4 linked regions of the Drosophila melanogaster genome follow. The main gene of each other region encodes a partner of the protein of the gene in region 4 in a complex. Each region holds a gene or a part of one and is shown on either strand. Other genes may lie near its edges.

What was found.
Region 1: eIF3e (region 4) and eIF3f2 share a complex: the UniProt entries of both Drosophila melanogaster proteins name them as parts of the eukaryotic translation initiation factor 3 (eIF-3) complex.
Region 2: eIF3e (region 4) and eIF3g2 share a complex: the UniProt entries of both Drosophila melanogaster proteins name them as parts of the eukaryotic translation initiation factor 3 (eIF-3) complex.
Region 3: eIF3e (region 4) and eIF3i share a complex: the UniProt entries of both Drosophila melanogaster proteins name them as parts of the eukaryotic translation initiation factor 3 (eIF-3) complex.

What each region holds. Positions count from the first base shown.
Region 1 is NT_033778.4:6,197,943-6,202,975, reverse strand, and holds eIF3f2 (eukaryotic translation initiation factor 3 subunit f2), read right to left. Parts: upstream 2,124-5,033; 5' UTR 2,060-2,123; coding exon 1,955-2,059; intron 1,899-1,954; coding exon 1,143-1,898; 3' UTR 1,020-1,142; downstream 1-1,019. Other genes in the region: CG30431 (uncharacterized protein), read right to left, coding at 1-29; CG30432 (uncharacterized protein), read left to right, coding at 4,757-5,033. UniProt on the Drosophila melanogaster protein: Component of the eukaryotic translation initiation factor 3 (eIF-3) complex, which is involved in protein synthesis of a specialized repertoire of mRNAs and, together with other initiation factors, stimulates binding of mRNA and methionyl-tRNAi to the 40S ribosome.
Region 2 is NT_033777.3:20,406,140-20,411,037, reverse strand, and holds eIF3g2 (eukaryotic translation initiation factor 3 subunit g2), read right to left. Parts: upstream 2,774-4,898; 5' UTR 2,712-2,773; coding exon 1,890-2,711; 3' UTR 1,795-1,889; downstream 1-1,794. Other genes in the region: Tmlh (trimethyllysine hydroxylase), read left to right, coding at 3,215-3,404, 3,464-4,368. UniProt on the Drosophila melanogaster protein: RNA-binding component of the eukaryotic translation initiation factor 3 (eIF-3) complex, which is involved in protein synthesis of a specialized repertoire of mRNAs and, together with other initiation factors, stimulates binding of mRNA and methionyl-tRNAi to the 40S ribosome.
Region 3 is NT_033779.5:4,965,162-4,970,695, reverse strand, and holds eIF3i (eukaryotic translation initiation factor 3 subunit i), read left to right. Parts: upstream 1-2,920; 5' UTR 2,921-3,002; coding exon 3,003-3,005; intron 3,006-3,182; coding exon 3,183-3,672; intron 3,673-3,727; coding exon 3,728-4,215; 3' UTR 4,216-4,329; downstream 4,330-5,534. Other genes in the region: l(2)05714 (lethal (2) 05714), read left to right, coding at 1-484; Polr1C (RNA polymerase I and III subunit C), read right to left, coding at 550-1,411, 1,472-1,611; Scox (synthesis of cytochrome c oxidase), read left to right, coding at 1,871-2,264, 2,328-2,689; CG34125 (uncharacterized protein), read right to left, coding at 4,422-4,814, 4,874-4,960; CG34124 (uncharacterized protein), read right to left, coding at 5,421-5,534. UniProt on the Drosophila melanogaster protein: Component of the eukaryotic translation initiation factor 3 (eIF-3) complex, which is involved in protein synthesis of a specialized repertoire of mRNAs and, together with other initiation factors, stimulates binding of mRNA and methionyl-tRNAi to the 40S ribosome.
Region 4 is NT_037436.4:16,782,892-16,788,705, reverse strand, and holds eIF3e (eukaryotic translation initiation factor 3 subunit e), read left to right. Parts: upstream 1-1,764; 5' UTR 1,765-1,872; coding exon 1,873-1,962; intron 1,963-2,056; coding exon 2,057-2,449; intron 2,450-2,535; coding exon 2,536-3,360; 3' UTR 3,361-3,464; downstream 3,465-5,814. Other genes in the region: CG9674 (uncharacterized protein), read left to right, coding at 1-44, 163-296; CG9706 (uncharacterized protein), read right to left, coding at 3,655-3,828, 3,994-5,397. UniProt on the Drosophila melanogaster protein: Component of the eukaryotic translation initiation factor 3 (eIF-3) complex, which is involved in protein synthesis of a specialized repertoire of mRNAs and, together with other initiation factors, stimulates binding of mRNA and methionyl-tRNAi to the 40S ribosome.

The sequences.
Region 1 (5,033 bases), on a different chromosome or scaffold from region 4:
AGCGGGTGGTGCGGCAGCAGCGAGAGCATAATACTTAGTTGCCGAAATCCGGACGGACGATCGCGGTTTACACTGTGAGTTCAATCAAGGAAGCCCCGATCTATACGGACGATTGGCATAGTTGTTTTCCTTGCGTTGTAGTCTTAGCTCAGTCTACTTGGGTTTTCATTTTGAAATCGGATCTCATTACGGTTTTACCACAGGCTTAATACTTCGTGCGTCTGCTCGGATCGCCGGTCGCTGGACGTCTGAGGGTGTGGATCCGCATCTAATCCACTCCTCAGAGCAGCGATGTCTATCAGGAAAGGCGACCGGGGCACACCGATAGCCCTTGGCTTGAGCGATAAGTCAGAGGCGGCGGAGGCGTCGGTTCGTCTGAGGGGTGGGGGCGCAGAGAGACAACGGGAGATTCGTCTGAGGAGAGGGGTGTCGTAGGGCTACTATCGACGGTCAACGTCAACGTTTGCTAATTTTCAGTTCGTTCCAGCTAATTGATTGCCCCGGTGGACATCCGCCGACTGTCCCTGAACCGCGATAAGGCGTTATTATCTCGGCATTATTTGGGTGGTCCACATCCCCGACACCCCCACCACCTTTCCACTACCATCCTCCGCCGTGCCCTCTTCGTCGAGATTTGAACAGACCGAAATAGATCTGTACTGGACCTTATCACCGTCCGTAGAGATCATCATTCCGCCGCGGGTTTCCCAGCACTGTTGTTGTATTTACCGCAAACTTTTTGGTGCTTAAACGGCCAAAGGAGTTGGCGAAATGACTCGCTTTCTCTGAAAATCACTTACCAAAGGGACTAAGATCGGGATGCTGGAAAAGAATGCCGATCAAGCGTTGCCTATAAGGTTTTCGGGCAACGCAACTGTGTAGAACGGGGGAAGCCTTAACGAAAATCATTTGTTTTCGGCACGAGCTTATAATGATCTTAATCGCTGGATGCGATGTTTCTAGACTCCAAAGTTCAGGAGCCGATACTAATTTAATAATTTCTACCGAAGGCTTGCTTTAGTGTGACCTACATCCTCCTTTTAATGAAAGTTCAATTTATTAGGTGGTGTAAATAGCAAAAGGCACCCAAAATAACAATTAAGTGATTGATTCAGTCAATTCAGTCAGTTTTTTGTCATTGTTCACTGATCCTGCATGCAAGACAGTTTCTCGCTGATCTCCAGCTGTGTTTTTATCATTGTGGAAAGAGTGATGGCCATGAGCATATCCCTCAAGTTAGTATTAAACATGACGCGAAATTTGTCCGAGTCCAAAAGCGGCACGGCAGTGAGAGCGGCGTAAAGGGATCTCCCGACTACGTTGTCAGGTTTTTTCTTCCTGGCCAAGACATCGTTGATGTAGCGCAGCACCAAGTCAAGGCGATGTTGCATATCCCTAGTGGCATCCACCACTTGAGCCAACTCTGGGACGAAGCGCTCCATTTGCTTGCTTGCCTGTTGCTGCGATTGCTTTTCTATGCAACGCAGAGCCACCAAATCGGAATTTTCGTTGCTAATCTCCAGTGGAACTAATGAGAACATCAGTCCTTTGGTGCCACCAGGCACTCCCATCTCCACAGCACAGTACAGTCGGGTCGAGAGTCGCTGGTTCTTCAGGGCTGCATCCACTAGCAGGTGCAGTGGCTGTCCTTCGCAGCATTCTCTGACATAATAGTCGTGGATCAGGGACGCGGAGCGGGACACCGATTTCCCAGTGCAGAACCAGCCCAGCACACGCTCGTTCGGATAGGCGAACATATTTAGCTCTAGGACCTCGGAGGCATATGCCATATCCAGATCAATGCGTTTGTTCTCCGAATGCTCCTTGTGCGGCACAGTAAAACAGTTTGTGATCTCGATGTGGCCCTCCTTGTTGCGACCCAGCAAAGTGCCCATAACCTTTGGTTTGATCATTACAAGATTAGTGGACAGGAGATGAATGCGCGCACACCTACCTGATTGTCACCTTTTGGTCGGCGATCGTATGCGTCAATAATTTGGAAAAACACCAACGGCTTTAGATACACCTTAGCTCGCATGCTAAAATTCCTAGACATCATGAGTTACAAAAAAAATTAAGTTGGAAAAGAAACTTAGCAAAGCAAACTTGGCTGCGCTTGTGCCTCCCCTCGATCCAGTGTTGTAAAATGTAAATATAACTTAAAAGGGCACGTGCCAAAATGTGCTCACCTATTTCGTTGCCTTGCTATTTAGAAACTTGCCTATTTAGAAACATTTTGAAATGGTAAACAGAAAAAACAAGCTTAAAATAATTTTAAATTAAGCATCATACATTATTTTACAGTTGTGTATGCTATAAGAACATAATAACAAAAATTAAAAACATTCTGCCTTTTTACCATATATGTATATAGTTTAAAATTTAGTAAATGTCTGTTAAAACGACTCTTAATTTACGTGCATGAGTTTGTTACGGATAGCCATGGGTATTTCGTGTATCAATACCTTGTGAAATGGGAATCTCACCAAGTATCAATGGCAGTGTTCCTTGCTCCTCCCATATTTCGCATACGGCATAATGACTTTAATTTCATACTCATACAAATTTCAATTGGCGCCCTATATTAAAAACTCAGTTAAGGTGGTAAACAAATCAGACTGGTAAAACGTTTACATAGCAAAACCAATGAGGCCATTTTGCATGGGAACTAATTTATATATTTTTAATATTTTAAAAAAATATATTTATATAGCCGTCAATGAATATTGTTACCCAAATTCGTGATAATTCTTCTTTTATGTCGAGTGTATATTTTATTAGAAAATGTACAAGACTTTTAATTTAAAAACTATTCCCTGCAAAGTAAATTCATCGATGAATAACCAAATATGCATATTGCTATAAGCCCAACATATTGCATTATAAAAATCGGCCATCTACGGCGTAGATCTTACACGCAGGTCTTGTTTGAAGCAAGAAGAATCGATTGTAAAACTCCCGCTTCTTAAAACGGTTTTAGCTCGATAACGGAATATTTTATTCAATCCTCGGCAATTTCCATCTTATACCTGTCGGTCGTAAAGCATAAGGGTAAACTAGATAGATTGCTAGAAAAGGATGTGTCAGGTAGGAGGAAGCGTATCCCGTCTTGTAAAGTAAATCCTCCTACCGTGCATCTGTCTGCCTATCTAAATGAATGTAGAGATCTCGGGAACTTATCTAGGGAGTGCATTAAGCATGCAGATTCTAACAACACCACTAAAATTATGTTACTCTAAAACGTAAATTTAAGTTTATTCTTAAAAATCGTTGATTTAAATTTTTATACGGATTTCATAAGCTTTAATTAATCATATGTGGTTAATGTAAATGCAAAATGGGCTGGATAAGAATGTTAATTTATTTATTAAGTACTAAAAATGTAAATTCCTTAAATGGCAACCATGTTAAACATAAGCAGAGATTTAATGAATGCAGACCGTGAGCACAAATCACAAATTAAGTGTGAACTTGAACCTCCATCAAGATGCCTCCAAATTATTTCCGAAAGCGACAAGTGTAACGCTAAGAAAAAGTACACCTAGTAAGGCGATAGTTTTATATTCTTTTTGGAAAATATAAAAATTAGTACCATTAACAGCTTTGGAGTCCGAGTTAAGCCTTATTATTAAAGAGTTTGAATGAACATTTAATCTAACGAATTAACATTGTTACATACTCTTGTGTCAAACAATTGTTGCAAAATGTGATATAATAATAAAGTAATGGGACGTAAGATTGATATCTAAAAACTTAAAATAATTTATATAATTTTTTGTAATTTTTTTAAATTTCCCATCGATCTCTTCGATTATAAATCTACTATAAAAGAAACACACAATACTAAAAGTACATTTTATTATTTTCTTTTACTGCGATTCTTAAAAATTATATATTACTTTAGTTGCCATGTAAATATTAAGAAATTCAAAAATTGTTGGTTTTAAAACAGGAATATTAACTTTTTGCAGCGTCTGAATCTTTTCCTCGAATCATTATACATGGAAATAATATTGTCACGTCCAACATGTCACGTTCGACATATCATTGCGTGTGGATTAAATAACTCGATTGAAGTAACCAGTTCTGAAAAGTTAATTATTTTTCTAAAATTAATTATTTGAAAACATAAATGGATTATGGGAAGGTACGTGCTGTTAAACCAATGAACTTTGTCCGGCCGTAGTGAAGATAAAGTTATATATAAGTATCTATCAATATCTATTTAACAATATTAAAAAAAAAGGTAGACTGCTACAGTCGACTTCCCCGACTATCAGATACCCGCTACACAGATGGTAGAAATGCGAACGCAAAATTTCATTATTATACTCGTTATTCGTAGAGTAAAAGGGTATACTAAATTCTTTGAAAAGTATGTAACAGGCAGAAGGAAGCGTTTCCGACCATATGAAGTATATATATTCTTGATCGAGATCAATAGCCGAGTCGATCTGGCCATGTCCGTCTGTCCGTATAAATGTGCAGATCTCAGGAACTATAAAAGCTAGGAGGTTAAAATTCACCATACAGATTCTAGAGACAGAGTCGCAGCGCAAGATTGGGTTTGGCAACTTGAATTAACAAACTAGCGTTCGACAAGAGCCGAAGATCACGAAGATATATAGTTTATATGCCTGTTACAAACTTTTCAACGAATCTAGTACACTTTACTCTACGAGTAACGGGTATAATCAGTCAGTTATTAGAAACCTGTCAAATCAGTGAACAAATCTTTTTCTCTAGTATCGCCGGCATGGAAGGCCGCAAAGAATTTCTGAATATTTTGTTGGTCATACAAATCATCTACATTGTGCCGGTTGGGATTATATGTTTGGTGATCGTGGCGTTTCAGGTGACGGGCTATCGTCTCAATGACTTTGTACTTTTCTCCTATATGAACTACATAGAGCAACAAGCCCGTTCGTACACTCCGGAATCTTGGGATAAAGGACTCAACATAATAGTGTGGATCCACGTCGTCATCCTATACGTGGTATTTCGAAAGAGGGAGTGTTTGAGGGTGCAGACTC
Region 2 (4,898 bases), on a different chromosome or scaffold from region 4:
GAAATCAAATCGATAATTTTACCACGCCCTGATGAAATGTTTACACAAAATCTATGGGTTTTTGTGTCAAGTGTTTGCAGAGCTCTCGAGCTTTCACCTGCGGCGCTCAACGCTGATTATGCACAAGTTTTGGTCATTTGAGAATTAATTTCCGCTGCCAGTGCGAGTCGGTTGAATATATTATATTCTTTCATCGTTTTTATTTGCTTGGGGGCTTTGTTGTTGTGGCTGGTTCGACAACTGTGTAATTATTTCAGCCATTTTTGAGGGTTTCGTGAGCAGGCGCGCGTGCAATAAAACAGTAAATAACAGTCTACACTTAAAGCGCAACAGAGACCGCGAAGGAGATCGGCCACGAAACGCCAGCAAATGGCATATTTGAATATTCAAATGCCCCCGAGAGTTTCAACGCCGTCGAGTCGATGGCCTGTTTCTGCGGTACCCTGTACAATGGGGGAGATGGGGTGAACTGCACTGTAGTGCACAGGGCGTATGAAGAATATTTCAAAATACATAATGTGCTGTGTGCGTATACTTAATGGGATAGCTTTCTGGATTATTTAATTCTTATTCTAATTAAAATTATTTATGCTAAATTTTATACATTATTTAGCCTCTATTCAAATGTGTTTTGTTAGAAGTTACGACAGGTAAAACTTAAAAATTAAAAAGTTGAATAGGAACATGGATTCTTTTAAAAAAGTTTGTAAATATCCGTTATTGGAATGAGTTTGCTTACTTTAAATACCACTTTAACTCCAACTACTGGGTATTTCTTATTTAACATTTGACTTTTAATCTTCTGTTTGTTTTTCTCTGGAAGAGTGAGTGAGTGTGCGTGCGGTGAGCGCACATGACCTGAAGGTGCAAACTGAAAAAGAAATGCGTGGCCGAGGGCGTTCTCCTTACCAGGGCGCCTCATACCCCCAACTACCCCCCCCCCCCCCCACAATGCTAACTAACCTGTCAAGCCGCCCACCTGGCCACCCATTCATTCGCCTTCCACCTATTCATTCTGCCGCTCAAACAAAGGCCGGGGACGAACGAATGAGCGCGCCGCAGAAAAAGTTAATTTATAAATTATTCAGTAATTTGTTTTAGACTCTGCTTTAGCTGCTACCCATCCCATACCACCGCAACAGCAACAACAATGGAAATAAATTTCTTTTGTGCCTGGCTTTGATCCGCCCCTCATTCAAAATGTGTATCTAAGCCGGGACTTTCCCGCGAACACTATCCACCGACCACTCATTCCCGGTTCAACGTCATGGTCGCGTAGTTGGCGTCCCGTTCTGAGGGGCTCCGCTCCAAGTATCGTGCGCATAAGTCCGCTCTTATATTTAATTATTAATGTTCATTCGGTCCGGCCAGCGTCTTGTGGCATTTCTCAGCTCTTGCCGGGAACGCCGTGCCATCATCATCCGGCACCACGTTGGCTTCCATTTAAGTGGCTTTCACCTTTGTACGGCTGCGGAGCACGGCGAAAAAATCGCATTTAAAACGGAGCATTATCGGCTTTAGTTCGCTCAAGGCGAGCTTTCTCTTTTATGCACTTAAAAAAAGCATCCACCTTGGATGTCCAAGGGTATATCAACTCGAAAATTGAGTGGTCCCAAATGAACCAGACTGTTTTTAACAATTTTCATATCTATCTCAATTCATATCCTTTGCTCAACTGAAAGATGAAAAAATCTACTACGAAACATTAATAAATAGATTTTATATTATTATTAATATATTCTCTGTAATTATCGAATGTGTGCAAATTAAAAATAAAAGTGGTCGCATATTTTGCAGGGTGTACCAGAATTTTATTTTGATTTCACTGCCACCGCAGCTCATTTCCGTTCTCGAATAAGCAGAGAAGCGAATACACAAGGCTATAGCCATTACGGCTGAGGCTTGGACCACTCGACGCAGAGGATCAAGTGGTCGTAGCCGTGGCCATTAAGAACCTCAATGGCGGCAGCTGCATCCTGGCGGAACTTGAAGTGCACGTAGGCGAATCCCTTGCAGAGGCCGCTGTTTTTTTCGCGCGCCAAATACATCTTGGTGTGTGGTCCGATTTTCTTTACCAGCTCCTCGAGATCAGTCTCGGTCATGGATTCGGATAGGTTTGAGATGCGAACTGCCGACGAATCGTCCCGATCCCGACCCCGTCCCCAATTTTTGCTGCCAGATATGCCTCCGCCGTCCTTCATGAAGGGTGGTACATATTTTCCGGTCTTGCTGGGATCACTTATAGCGGCAGCTGCAGCGGCATTGGCCTTGGTTTCCATCACGGTTTTGCTATCCATCGAGGTGCCCTTGTAGGGACAATTGACACTCCAGTGTTCGCCATTGCAAATGCGGCACTTGGCGATGTTCTTGCCGGGATCAAGTTGGGTTTCGTGGGTCTGGTCGAAATCTTTGGAGCCGATGAATTGCATAAAGATCTCCTCGGAGGCCATTGTCGTCTGGGAATTGGGTCCGGGCTTGTCCGATCGCGAATCCCCAAACTTAACCCAGTTGCGACGACGAGCCACAGCCTTCGGAACAATCTGCTTCTCGATCTTGAAGGTTCGCACCACTTTCACCTTCTTGCCATCATCGTTGAACTTATACTCCGTCACGTACTTGAAGTCGCCCTTAATGTACTCATTAGAAGGCGGCAGTCCATCCACATAGTCCGCATCCACCTCATCGGCCCAGGAAGTAACGAAAGTCTTCATTTTTTATGATTTCCCACACAACCGGTACAAAATGAATTAAAAACTTAGAGATCTCTAGTTTTAGAGAGAGTTTTTCCATTTGAATTTTACTTGGCCTGTTGAGATGGGAAAAAATCCCTTTCAATAAAAGATATTTGAAATTAATATTTATATTTTCTTTAAAGTAATGATTTTTTAATAAAAAATACAACAACTTGAGTAGCAATTCACTAAGATAACTTTGCAACAAAAACATACCATTCAATCAATCTTGATTAAATTATAAATTTTTTTACTTTCATGAGTTGTTCTTAATAATTACATATTGTCTTTAAATTCAATAAATTTATTAATCTTATAGTTATTCCGTAAACAAATAAGTTCTTATCTCTGACTTGAGCATGAAAGTAATCGCTCTCCTACTGATAACAGTACAATTAAAACCGAGCTGAAACTTAATCAAACTTTGAGCTGTTAGTTCACTTTCACTGCTCTAGTCCGTCGGTTGTTCTATTGGCATTAACATGTTGCTTTTGAAGCACCCGAAAACCAGCCAATCAATAGAAATCAATGAGTTTTGGCTCCGTGATCATTGTCGATGTGTGGAGTGTCTAAATTTCGAAACAAATCAGAGGCGATACGATGTCTTAGATCTACCAGCTGATATAATGCCACTAGATGTCAAATACGACGGGATGAATCTACAAGTGCAGTGTAAGAAAAAATTGATGTAAAATGCACCTAGCTTCGATTTTATTGGCCTGCCATTTTAGGGAGTGATGCTCACAAGTCGAACTATGACCTGGACTTTATCTTCGACTCACAGCTGGAGAGGTTGATAGGTCGGCGATCAAAGTCCACTAATCTGACACCATGGAATCGTAGCATTATCTTGCAAAACGAACGGCACTTACGATTCCCATTGCCCCAGCTGGTTTCCAGTGATAACGAAGTCAGATCCCTGGTTGAATCTCTGGTGCGTTATGGCATTGTCTTTATCGATGATGTGGCTCCCACCGCGAATATGACAGAATTGGCTCTGCGACGAGTTTTCCCCCTTATGAAAACGTTCTTTGGCGAAATGTGGACTTTTAGCGATAACCCCGATCACGCGGACACCGCTTATACCAAACTTTACCTGGGTTCCCATACGGATAATACCTATTTCTGCGATGCAGCCGGACTACAGGCTCTACATTGCATTGAGCACTCGGGATCGGGTGGCGAAAATTTCTTTGTTGATGGTCTGCATGTGGTTCACGAACTGAAACGCCGGTATCCCGCCGCTTATGATGTACTGTGCAGTGTCCAAGTTCCTGGAGAGTACATCGAAAAAGGGGAGCACCACTACCACACTGCCCCCATTATACAGGTGGATCCACTGACTCAGGAATTTGTTCAACTCAGACTAAATGTATATGATCGCGCCGTGTTTAATACCATCCCTCAAGCCGAAATGGCCGAGTTCTATGACAGTCTTCGCCAGCTTTTGCTAATCGTCAGGGATAAGCAACAGCAGTGGGCTCTCAAGCTATGTCCCGGCAGCATTGTTCTTTTCGATAACTGGAGAGTGCTCCATGGTCGAGAGGCATACACAGGAAGTCGTACCATGTCCGGTTCCTATGTGCAGCGCACAGATTTTCTCAGCAAGGCTCGAGTGCTGGGAATTATTGACTGAAAGCTTATTGAAAAATACCTAATGTATACCGAATTAAAACCTTTTATGAACTAAGAAATTATGATTTATTTTCTATACTTTCTAGTGCTCCGCATATTCCTTCAGCAATCATTTATGTATTATATGGTCCGTACCGACTTTTATACTTTTTGCAATGGGAAAGTTTCATGCGGATAACTTTAACACTGAGAGATTATTTTGTGGATAGAAGAACATTTAACATTGATCAATAATATATATACTTTACATGTTCGTAGCTGACTCCTTCACTTCGATGCAAGATACTGGCTTAAATCAACATCCTTTCTGCATATATATAAGTTTGCTTTTGATTGCTCAAATAAGAACATATTTTAAATTCGGTTCATATATCAGGAATAGCATACATTGTTAAAGAATCGTTGCGTATAGAAAAAAACACGCAAATTGTTCAAGCATATTTTTCTTTTTTCTGAACCGAGTCCCACTCCAATTCAATTTCGATTGCAAATGCTAACGTATCATAATAAAAAGTTACGATTACAATTGCT
Region 3 (5,534 bases), on a different chromosome or scaffold from region 4:
ATCAAAGACCTATCCAAGGCAAAAGCCAAGGAGCAAAATGCAGCCAAAGATCAAGAACGACACGAAGGTGGAGAGCATGGAGGAGGAGACGGAGGAGGACGAAATCGCCTCGAACGACTCAATCCTGGATGATTTACTCAGAACAGATCAGCCCTATCAAGAGCAAGAATTTGAGGTTGAGAACGAGTTCCTCGAAGTACAACAGAATGAAACAGATCTCCAGGACCAAGAGGTGGTCTACGAGGAAGAGATGATACAGCTCAAGCCGGAAGATACGGAGATTAATAACGAATACCAAGTCGACGCGATGACGGAAGACACCATTATTAGTGAATTTGACTTGTTTGGCAAGAGTTTGGCTCTGCAGCTGAACAACATGGACCTGGAGGACGCACTAATGTGCCAGGAGCGTCTGCAGGTGGTCCTAACGGAATTTCGCCTGAAGGTGCTCAAGCGCAAGAGAGAGCAAGCACGATCTTCGTAGGCTTACAATTTATATCAAGCTGTCTTATGTACATAATATAATTTCTTTAACAACTAAATAAATAACTATTCTGCCTCAATTTCGTCAATTAGCGCCCGGCACTTTCTCTTCAATACCTTGACCGCCTCCAGGAAGATGACATCGGGCTTCAGTGCGCCGACTGATTCCACGGAGAAAATGTAGTGATCTCGGATACGGGCCAAAGTCACAGCGTCGTTTAGCTGGGGATAGCGATACACATTTCGGCTGCACGTGTCGTAGCGTGCATCCTTTACATAGGCAGTTTCATTCTCGTCAATGCCAATTACTCCTGGTGAGAAACAGTTCTGTAATAGGTACGCATCCTTACCGGTCACCTCGCGGTTCAGCTTAATCATGGGCAGCAGTCGGTAGGTGGCCGTGGCCACCGGCGAGAATTTCGCGTGATCCCGTCCAAGTCCCTTAACCGCCACCAGGCGCAGATCCAACTCGTGACCCGGACGCAATTGGGCAATCAGTATGTCATCGTGAATGCAGTTCACAGCACTCTCGCTGTATATCTGCGCCTGCTTTCCTTTGGGCAGCCACTTCAGATGACCCGAGTACACTTTGTGGTTTTTGTAAATGTCATCGAAGTTGGACTGATCTTTTCCAGCATCCCGTCGCCGCGAGCACTTCACCTTCAGCTCAAATTCAAGCGTATCCTGCTCGGTCCCCGCCTCAGTGCTTTCCTCGGTGCGGTATGCGAATAGACGGGGATCAGCCCGCAACGGAAGTAGACCCATTCGATGGGCAAGTACCTCGTCCTGGATGATCGAGGTGTTGTTGTATATGTACACCTTTTCGATGGCCATGCTGGGCACATCGCTGAGCATCAGGCGACGGAAGGCATTTGCAATGGCGGGATACACGCCAATCAGATCGAACTCCAGGCCGTCTTCGTCGTTTCTAGAAGTGAACACCAATTGTTAATCGACTCGTAAGATTCTAATTTCTATTGAGATTTACCTGACGATTTTGATGTGCAGCTTTTCCTTGAAAGCCTGAACGGAAAATACATCGTCCGCCAGTCCATAGTCCTGCGGATCCTGCTTCACCCGATACTCCTCCATGTACAGAAGCGGCTCCTTGCGATTTTTGCTTGCCATTTGCCCCGGTGTTTTTATTAAATAATTTAACAAAATTGAACCGCACGTGTTGGAATCAATAAGACCGCCTTCTAATACCAAAATATACCAAACTAACTAACAAACTAACTAATATACTAAATAAATATACTTTATGTACTAAATAAATGCTGTTTCGCCGTGACTGGCTGAATAGGAAGAAGCAGCAGGACACCGGCGATATTTTTATTTCTCCAGAAGATTTACGTAAAGCCTTCAAATTTCTGAAACCGGGCGTAAGATGTCCCGCTCCCTGCAACGCTTAGTGGGCAGCTGTCGTCGCTGGGCACAACAGCCCGCAATTCGTCATTATGCCGCTCCCGCAGATTCCACTAAAGGCAAGGGTCCGATCTCTTGGAGAAGTCTGGCCGTCATTGGAGCCCTTGGAGCCGGAGGAGTGGGCTTCATGCTGTACGTGAAGAGCGAGAAGGATGAGGCGAGAATGAAGGAGCGTCAGCGGCAATTGGGAAAAGCAGCCATCGGCGGCAGTTGGGAATTAGTTGATTCGCAGGGAGCTGTTCGCAAATCGGAGGACTTCTTAGGCAAGTGGCTGCTCATCTATTTTGGCTTCACCCACTGCCCGGATATTTGTCCCGATGAGCTAGAGAAGATGGCCGCCGTCGTCGATGAAGTTGGTAAGTAGAGCCTGACTATTTCTTCCAAACCCAAAAAAAACCATGTTTCTCAAACCTTCACAGAAAAGTCCCCGCAAACGCCAGCAGTGCAGCCCATCTTTATCACCGTTGACCCAGAACGTGACTCCAAAGAGGTGGTGGCCAAATACGTAAAAGAGTTCTCCCCCAAACTGCTGGGACTCACGGGAACCGTCGAACAAATCCGCAAAGTGTGCAAGGCCTTCAGGGTTTATTTCAGCGCTGGACCGCGGGACGAGGACAACGATTATATTGTGGATCACACCATCATCATGTACCTGGTCAATCCCGATGGCGAGTTTGTCGATTACTACGGCCAAAATCGGGACAAGGACCAGTGTGTGGCATCCATTTTGGTGAACATAGCCAAGTGGAATTCAATGAACAAAAAGGGATGGTTCAGCTAGGCTGGCTAAGCTAGGCAAATGTTGTTTCGTTGTATTTACTTAATGTATGGCATAAAATATGGTTTTTACTTGATGTATATCAAGTTTTAAATCCAAATTTTCGTTTATATTGGCTATACCTTAAGTTCTAGATTGTAAAAATTTCTGGTTGTTCAAAATAAACTTGATTAACGGTATTTTTTAGATCCCCCTGGTATATCGAAGTGAGATTTTGACTAGGCCACGGTCACACTGCTCTTTTGGCGTGTAGTGCTGCGTGGATGTTGTTGCAAAAATATTCGTTTTCTCGCAACAAATAACAATATAATACAAAATGGTGCGTGCCTGGTCAATGACTACACAGTTTGCATTATTCCGGATGGGTTTCTTTAGAATTTACCCGAAATTACAACTATTTGCAAAGTGTGAAAGTCGTGTGAAATTCCGGACCAAACATAACCTTAAAAGCGGCCTAAATTGTTGCTAAAAATTCGTATTATTCTGTCTTTTATAGCGTCCGTTGATGCTTCAGGGCCACGAGCGTTCCATAACGCAAATCAAGTACAACCGCGAGGGCGACCTGCTCTTCTCCTGCTCCAAGGATCAGAAGCCCAATGTGTGGTACTCGCTGAACGGAGAACGTTTGGGCACCTACGATGGTCACCAGGGTGCGGTCTGGTGCCTGGATGTGGACTGGGAGAGCCGTAAGCTCATCACCGGCGCCGGTGATATGACCGCTAAGATCTGGGACGTCGAGTACGGCACCGTTATCGCCTCCATTCCGACCAAGTCATCGGTGCGCACCAGCAACTTCAGCTTCTCGGGCAACCAGGCAGCCTACTCAACGGACAAAGCGATGGGACAGAGCTGTGAACTGTTCCTCATCGATGTCCGCAACGCCGATTCCTCGTTGTCGGAGCAGGAGCCCACACTCCGCATCCCGATGACCGAGTCCAAAATTACGTCGATGTTGTGGGGTCCTCTGGATGAGACCATCATCACAGGTTGGTGTTTACCCGATAATCTATTATGAAAACCGTTTAAAACCCGTATTTCCAGGTCACGATAATGGCAACATTGCCATCTGGGACATCCGTAAGGGTCAAAAGGTGGTTGACTCTGGCACGGATCACAGCGCTGGCATCAACGACATGCAGTTGAGCAAGGATGGCACCATGTTTGTGACCGCCTCCAAGGACACCACCGCCAAATTGTTCGATTCGGAGTCCCTGATGTGCCTCAAGACCTACAAAACGGAGCGTCCAGTAAACTCGGCGGCCATCAGCCCAATCATGGATCATGTCGTGCTGGGCGGCGGTCAAGATGCCATGGAGGTGACCACTACGTCTACGAAGGCTGGCAAGTTTGACTCGCGCTTCTTCCACCTGATATACGAGGAGGAGTTCGCCCGACTCAAGGGCCATTTCGGACCCATCAACAGTTTGGCCTTCCATCCGGACGGCAAGAGTTACGCCTCGGGCGGAGAAGATGGTTTCGTGCGTGTCCAGACATTCGATAGTACATACTTTGAGAACATCTTCGAGTAGTTTGTATCCAGTAGTGATTTAGTAGGATCAGAGCCGGTGGACTTAACATAACCATTTCACCGGCGACATGTTCGTTTGCTTAGGGAACTTTCAAATATACGCGAGGACGAAACGAAACGGATCGCGTCGTTTATTTTTATAACATCAAAGGAGTGGAAAGAGGTACAACATGATTATATTCGAGTAAATGGTGTGCCATGTGTAACCTAAAAAAAGGAACGCTTTTTTTGCTTGAGAACCACAGGCTGACCCTGCATGGCCGCCCACTGAGCCGGTGTGGGCAGGCAGCCCGGCGGAGGAGGCGGAATGACGACATTTCCGTTGGAATTTGTCCTCACCTCGGCCCGTGAGTCCAAGTGGAGGACCTGTGCTGCAGCTGCTCCTGCCGACGTACTGGGACCAGCAAGTCCGAAGCCACTGCCATGTGTCATACCGTAGTTGGGCTGCCCGCTGAAGGGCATCTGCTGTTGCTGGTGGCTGATCATGCCGTAATACTGATTCTGGCTGGGCGGAGCACCTCCTCCTTGTGGATAGCCATAGGCACCAGCACCGGTGCCGCCGTTTCGCTGGCTTTCTTCATACGTTGGCGGAGGAGCTCGCTAGAAGTCGCAAAACTTTAGATGGCGACTGGTATTTGATAATCAAATTAACTTATTACCATGGCCATGTCATCGCCGGAATGGCGATAGTCGTAAGCGGGAGCACTTCCCTCGCTTGGTGGACCTGCTTTTGATGGCTTCGACATCTTATCTCGTCTGTAATTTGAAGTTGCACTTTGTTTACTTGCAGTTTCTCTGAGTCACAAACAGGGTTGTCAGCTCATCGAGATTAGTGATGTCGTAAAGTTTTCCCGTCAGATCTGGATTTATTCGAAATTTATTTTCTGCACGCGAATTGCTATTTTATTTCTTTGGCGTTTTAAAATAAATAAAAAATGGGAATAATATGTCCCTCACAATTTATTAGTAAATTTTTGAGTTGTGCTATTAGGACGCCAGTTATTGAAACACACGCTTTTACAAATAATTCAAAATCAGATTTAAAGATGTTCTATGGTAAAATATACATGTTTGGGTCACCTTTTTCGAAATTCAAAGTGAAGTCTACAAAAAAATATGTATTGAGTTACTTTTTGTAAATCGATGTTGTCAAGTTCCAAAAATAATTAATTTTTGAATTTCTACCAAAGTATTTGATATGGATGTCTAGAAAGGAAGCCCACTGCTGGTTCCTGGCTTTTTCGTGGCGATCCTCACCGACATGGGCGACTCGCAACTGGGCTGCTTATATTGCCGCCTTTTTATCAGGTCTCTTTGAAT
Region 4 (5,814 bases):
CGGACAGTATGGCACCTCGAACTCCAAGGTCTTTGCGGCAGGAGGTCAGTTTTATGTCTACTAAGTAATAGGCTTAGTATTAAGAGTTAATCACATCAATCATTGAATGATTTCTGTATCTTTGCATAACAAAAATGTTAATTTATCTTCTGTCCTTTGCAGATTGCCGGCGTGGCCAGTCGCTGGTCGTCTGGGCCATTACCGAGGGTCGCCAGGCCGCACGACAGGTCGATTCCTATCTGACCGGCCGTCCCAGTGGGCTTCCAGGACCTGGTGGCGTCATCGCGACATCCTAAAGAGGATCCACAGAGGCAGCCAGAGCAGCTAATATCAAGTTTTGTGTGCGTGCATCGTCCTTAGCCTATAGTGCGAAATTCTTTAACGATTTGTGATTTTTATTTTCGCGATTTTAGTTTAGTTTACACTAAAAAGACTTGAGTTTTTTACACACCAAACCAAAACGAAACACGTTTCATTTAGTTTTATTTTGATCGCAAAGCTGGCTGGGAATTGTTAGTGGTTCGTCGAGATGCCCTCCATATGATGATGATGATGATGATGATGATGCGGCAGGAGTCAATTAAGAGTGCAAACTGAAATTCTGATTGAAGCCAATCAATATGTATATCTTAACGGAAATCGAATATCCAACAAAAAATCTAAGGACAATAACTAGAAACTTACCGTTATCGTTAAAATGAAAATTAATTGAACATTAAATATTTAGAAAATGCATTTTTTCAATGTTGTTTTAGCTTGAGTTGCCTAATCTATGCAAACGAAATATATGAAGTGAAAATTGATATGCTGATCTCCACCATCCTATATACAATCCATAAATCGTATATACAGAAAGAGAAATGTATTAAACTCGGCCAATATCGAAACGCATTTTTTAGATGTTGTTTTTGTGTTTTGAACTGCATTCGACCGTTGACCGCAAATGTACCTAAGTGGCTATTGTTAAAACAAATCTGCTCTTTGGCAGTTGAATGTGCGAATACAAAGAATTACACAATTTATACAAAACATATTTAACCCAAATGTATACCCTTATACAGACATCTCTATATAAATATATTTATGTGCAAGTATTTGATGAAATAAATATTCAAATTATTAAAAAGCATTTCTCCGATGAGTTGATATTTGTGTTTTGAATTTGGCATGGGAAATATATTTATTAATAGCTTGAAAAGAGAGGCAACGTCTTTTTGAAATTAAAAACCTTTGTTATATGTATACCTTGTAATTTAAAATTATTGGTATTTTACGTAAAGCGTATAACTTTAAAGGAATGAGAAACCATTGTAATGTAGAAAATATTTAATAATATTTCTTTAAATTCATTGTATGGTAACTTATGTAGTTACCGCTTTATTTAATTACTAAGTACAATATCTTGTTGTTTTATGCCGTAAGCTTGTTACGAGCGGAGCTGAAGTTCCAGTGTGTCCAGTCTGACGATAAGAAGACAGAAGATATCGTCCTCCAGGAAAGGTCTTGGCGTTAGTACCTCTTTTCGCCGTGATGCCAGACCGGGTTTCAGTCTGGGCGCCACAATTGAAATAATAATTTTTTATTGCTATAATAGCCATGCTAAGATAATAGAAATTTTGAAAATTGAGTATTTTTTGAAAGTTGTTTCAATGACTTAATTTTATTTTAAATAAATGCGCCACTTTGAAAGCTTGAAAAAAATACGGCTTCAGGGTCATGGTATTTAATGTCGTGGAAATACCACACTCTGGTAACTCTGAGCGGGCGTCACTCTTTTCGTCTCTGGGCACACTGTCGGCCCTCGCACGCGTATTTTTCTGCCGATTTTGCGTGTAAATTTAATTGTGAAAACATAGTAAAACAGCTGCAATCATGGCCAATTTCGATCTGACACGCATCAATTGCCAGTTTTTGGACAGGCATTTGACCTTCCCGCTGCTGGAGTTCTTGTGCGGCAAGGAGGTTAGAAAAGCGACCAGGCGGTGCTCCGCTGGCGGTTGCCGAGTCACCAGTACATAACTATGGGAAATCTTCATATGTGTGACTTTCGTTGCAGATCTACAACCAGCAGGAGCTGCTGGAGTACATTTTGGAGACGGTGAACAAGACGAACATGATCGATTACACGATGGACACCCGCAAGCGTCTCAATCTCAGCCAGGAGATGCCCGAGGAGCTCGTGCAGCGCAAGGCGGAGGTCCTGGCCACGCTTAAGCAGCTGCAGAACGAGGTGGCACCCATCATGAAGGCCACCGACATTCTTAAGAACGGTGAGAGCATGAAGGACTCGAAGACCTTCGTCAACGCCCTTCAGAAGGACTACAATTTTAAGGTGGAGCACCTGGAGAGCGCCTACAAGCTGGCCAAGTACCTCTACGAGTGCGGCAACTATCAGGAGTCCACCTCTTACCTGTACTTCTGCCTCATCGTCATGTCGCCCAACGACAAGGTGCGTATGGAGCTAAATTAACATGAAAAGCGGCAAAAACCACTAAAACAAGAATATTAATTGATATTGTCTCCCAAATTTTGCAGAACTACCTTAATGTGCTGTGGGGCAAGCTGGCCGCCGAGATTCTGACCCTCAACTGGAACACTGCTCTGGAGGATCTGACGCGTTTGCGCGACTACATTGACAACGCCAACTTCAGCACCATCCAGGCCCTGCAGCAACGCACCTGGCTGATCCACTGGTCGGTCCTGGTCTTCTTCAATCACCCCAAGGGACGCGATCTCATTATTGAGATGTTCCTGTACAAGCCCCTGTATTTGAACGCCATTCAGACAATGTGTCCGCACATCATGCGTTACTTGGCCACCGCCGTAGTCATCAACCGCACCCGCCGCAATGCTCTAAAGGATTTGATCAAGGTGATCCAACAGGAGTCGTACACGTACCGCGATCCCATCACCGAGTTTCTGGAGTGTCTGTACGTGAACTTTGATTTCGAGGGAGCGCGTCTGAAGCTGCACGAGTGCCAGACGGTGATCCTCAACGACTTCTTCATCGTGGCCTGCCTGAATGAGTTCGTGGAGGATGCCCGCTTGATGATCTTCGAGACATTCTGCCGCATCCACCAGTGCATCACCATCAGCATGCTGGCCGATAAGCTGAACATGAAGCCCAACGAGGCTGAGTGCTGGATCGTCAACCTTATCCGCAATGCCCGTCTGAATGCCAAGATCGATTCGAAACTGGGTCATGTGGTGATGGGCACCCAGCCCTTGAGTCCCTATCAGCAGCTGGTGGAGAAGATCGACTCGCTGTCCATGCGGTCGGAGCATTTGGCAGGTTTGATTGAGCGCAAGAGCAAGCAGAAGCAGAATCAGGAGTCGGCCGACTCCTGGAAGTACTACTAGTTGCTGACTTTTTATCCACAATTAAGTTAAGACTCTTTGTACCCTTTAAAAACCGATGATTGCGCGCAGTCGAGCGAATAAATTAACATCTTACTCATTCGCTCAATTCAACATTTGATTTTATTTCCTTCGGAATCAAAATTAGTTATACAAAAAACAATACCAAGGCGGGAATTTGTAATTTCGCTAGCCTACAGAATGCAAACGTCTGCTAATCCTAGAATTAGTTGTTTGTACCTACAAGTGGGTGCTGGATCTTTATGACGATCTGGCCCCGGATCACACTATTGATTGCTACCGCGATTTCTGCTTGACCACCAACCAGGATCTGACGGGCAGGTCCTGCAAGTAAACGATCCATTTGCGCACCAGCAGCAGCCACACTATGCCGTACAGAACGCAAATGCCCGACTCCAAGTAGTACCCATCGAAGGTTATCTCGCACTTGCCAGCCGACGCTTCACAGCTCTGCGGGAGAAAATTAAGAAAAATATTTGTTTAGTTACTTTTATCTCATAACTGGCAAAGTTTATCTTTTCCTGGTTTGGGGTAAAACTTTCACCATACATATGTATCCATATACAATAATAATAATAATCTTGTATGCTGTAGAATCTCTCTCTGAGCACTCACCTGTTGCTCCTCCTTGCCCTGGCAGGTATTTTCCGCATTATTGGAGCACTGCTTCCAGGTGAGCACGTCCACCAACCACAACACCACTGTGTTGGGCCAATTACCGCCCAGATTGCACAATGTGTTCAAAAATGTCATGTAAGTGCCACCGACGGCTGGATCGGAGATCTTGGCGAAAAAGGCCATGGCGGCCACAAACATGGAGTACAGGAATACTTGGTAGATGGCATAACTGGTGATCAGCAGGACGTAGTAATAAGCAGGCACGGCTCCTCCACGGACAATATAGGGTGTGATGTAGGCCAAGCCAGTGGCCACTGTTGCCATGATGATGCGATAGGGAATGGCCTTCAGATAGACGTCCATCGGACGTGGTCCGTTCGTATATCGACCGACCGCCAGCGGCAGAATGAGCTGCAGAGGAATTAGGGGAATGGCGAGTAAAGCCAGCTTATCCTTCGGTACACCAGCGTCAATGAGTTTTAAGCTGGTCACTGCATCAGAGGCTGCGAACGTGACCTTCACGGTGAGCAGAATTACAGCCAGAATTTGGACGGGACGCATGCACACCATGTCCCACAATATCTTGTAGCTCTCATGGATGTTCAACTCGTGCTCCTCCGTGTAGCGAGCGTCCATATGCGCGTCTTCGATGTCGTTCTCCTTCTTGAAAATTGCCACCAAAGTAGTGGCTACCACAAATGTAATGCCCCAGAACCAAAGGAAACGGGGCAATGTGATCATGCCATCCTCGAGTGGCACGTCTCTTATGTAGGTGTTGCAGAAATCCTTGGACTCCAGGGCAATGAACACCACATAGCCCAAGAAGTAGCCAGCTGTTTGGCCCACGCTATTGCAGGTGGATGCGTATCCAACATTGCATCGCTTCAGCATGGTCAAGGCCCAGCCATCCACGGCGATGTCCTGAGTGGCAGCCAGGAAGTTAAGCAGGAAGAAGAGCAGCGTCAGGAGCGGCACATTGGGATCGACACCGTTCCCGCCCAGCCAGCGATCCACGTGGAGGGAGAGGAGTAACATAAAGGCTCCCAGAAGGTATTGCACTGGGACTAGCCACGATTTCCGGCGTCCAAATCGCCGGATGTACAGGGAATCCACAATTGGAGCCCACAGCAGCTTTAAGCTGAATGGCCAGTAGGCGAATGAAAACTCCGCCTGTTGTTTGTAGCTAGCTCCTCTATTTTGCAGCAACATTGGTATGGCTGCTATGAGCCCGATGGGAATGCCCTGTAGAACGTACAGGAACAGCAGTATGGCTATATTCCTCCGGTCTCCACGAATATCTGGTTTCTGGTGCTCCGCCACCTTTTCCGACTTTGGTGGCTCGTCGATGAGCAACTCCTGGTCGGCATTGCTGCCCGTTGGCTTTCTCCTTATGGCGGACATGCTGATCAAATAGCGATAGGTATATATTATAAAGACATGCTAGTTTGGGGGCCACAGGCTCACCTGTTTTTCTAATCACCAACAAATAACACCACGTCACTCAAATGTAGAGCTTTTTACGTATTTTCCCGATACAATTCCCTCGATGCCTTTAATTTGGTTAAATGTACGATCGAATGGCTTTCTGAATATCTGCCAGTTCGGTCTTTAATTAATTCATTTTCCGTTGAATCGGAATATTTTCTTTCGTGGCATATGTTTGTTGACGTTCCAATATATTTTTATAGCAACTCTCTGTCGCACTACGCATGCAGTTGCTATAAACCGCCGCATGGTCACACTAATCATTCGAAATTCAAACTGAGTGGCGGGAGACTTACGAAATGGAAATCCATAATTTTAGGAGTATGAGTTGGT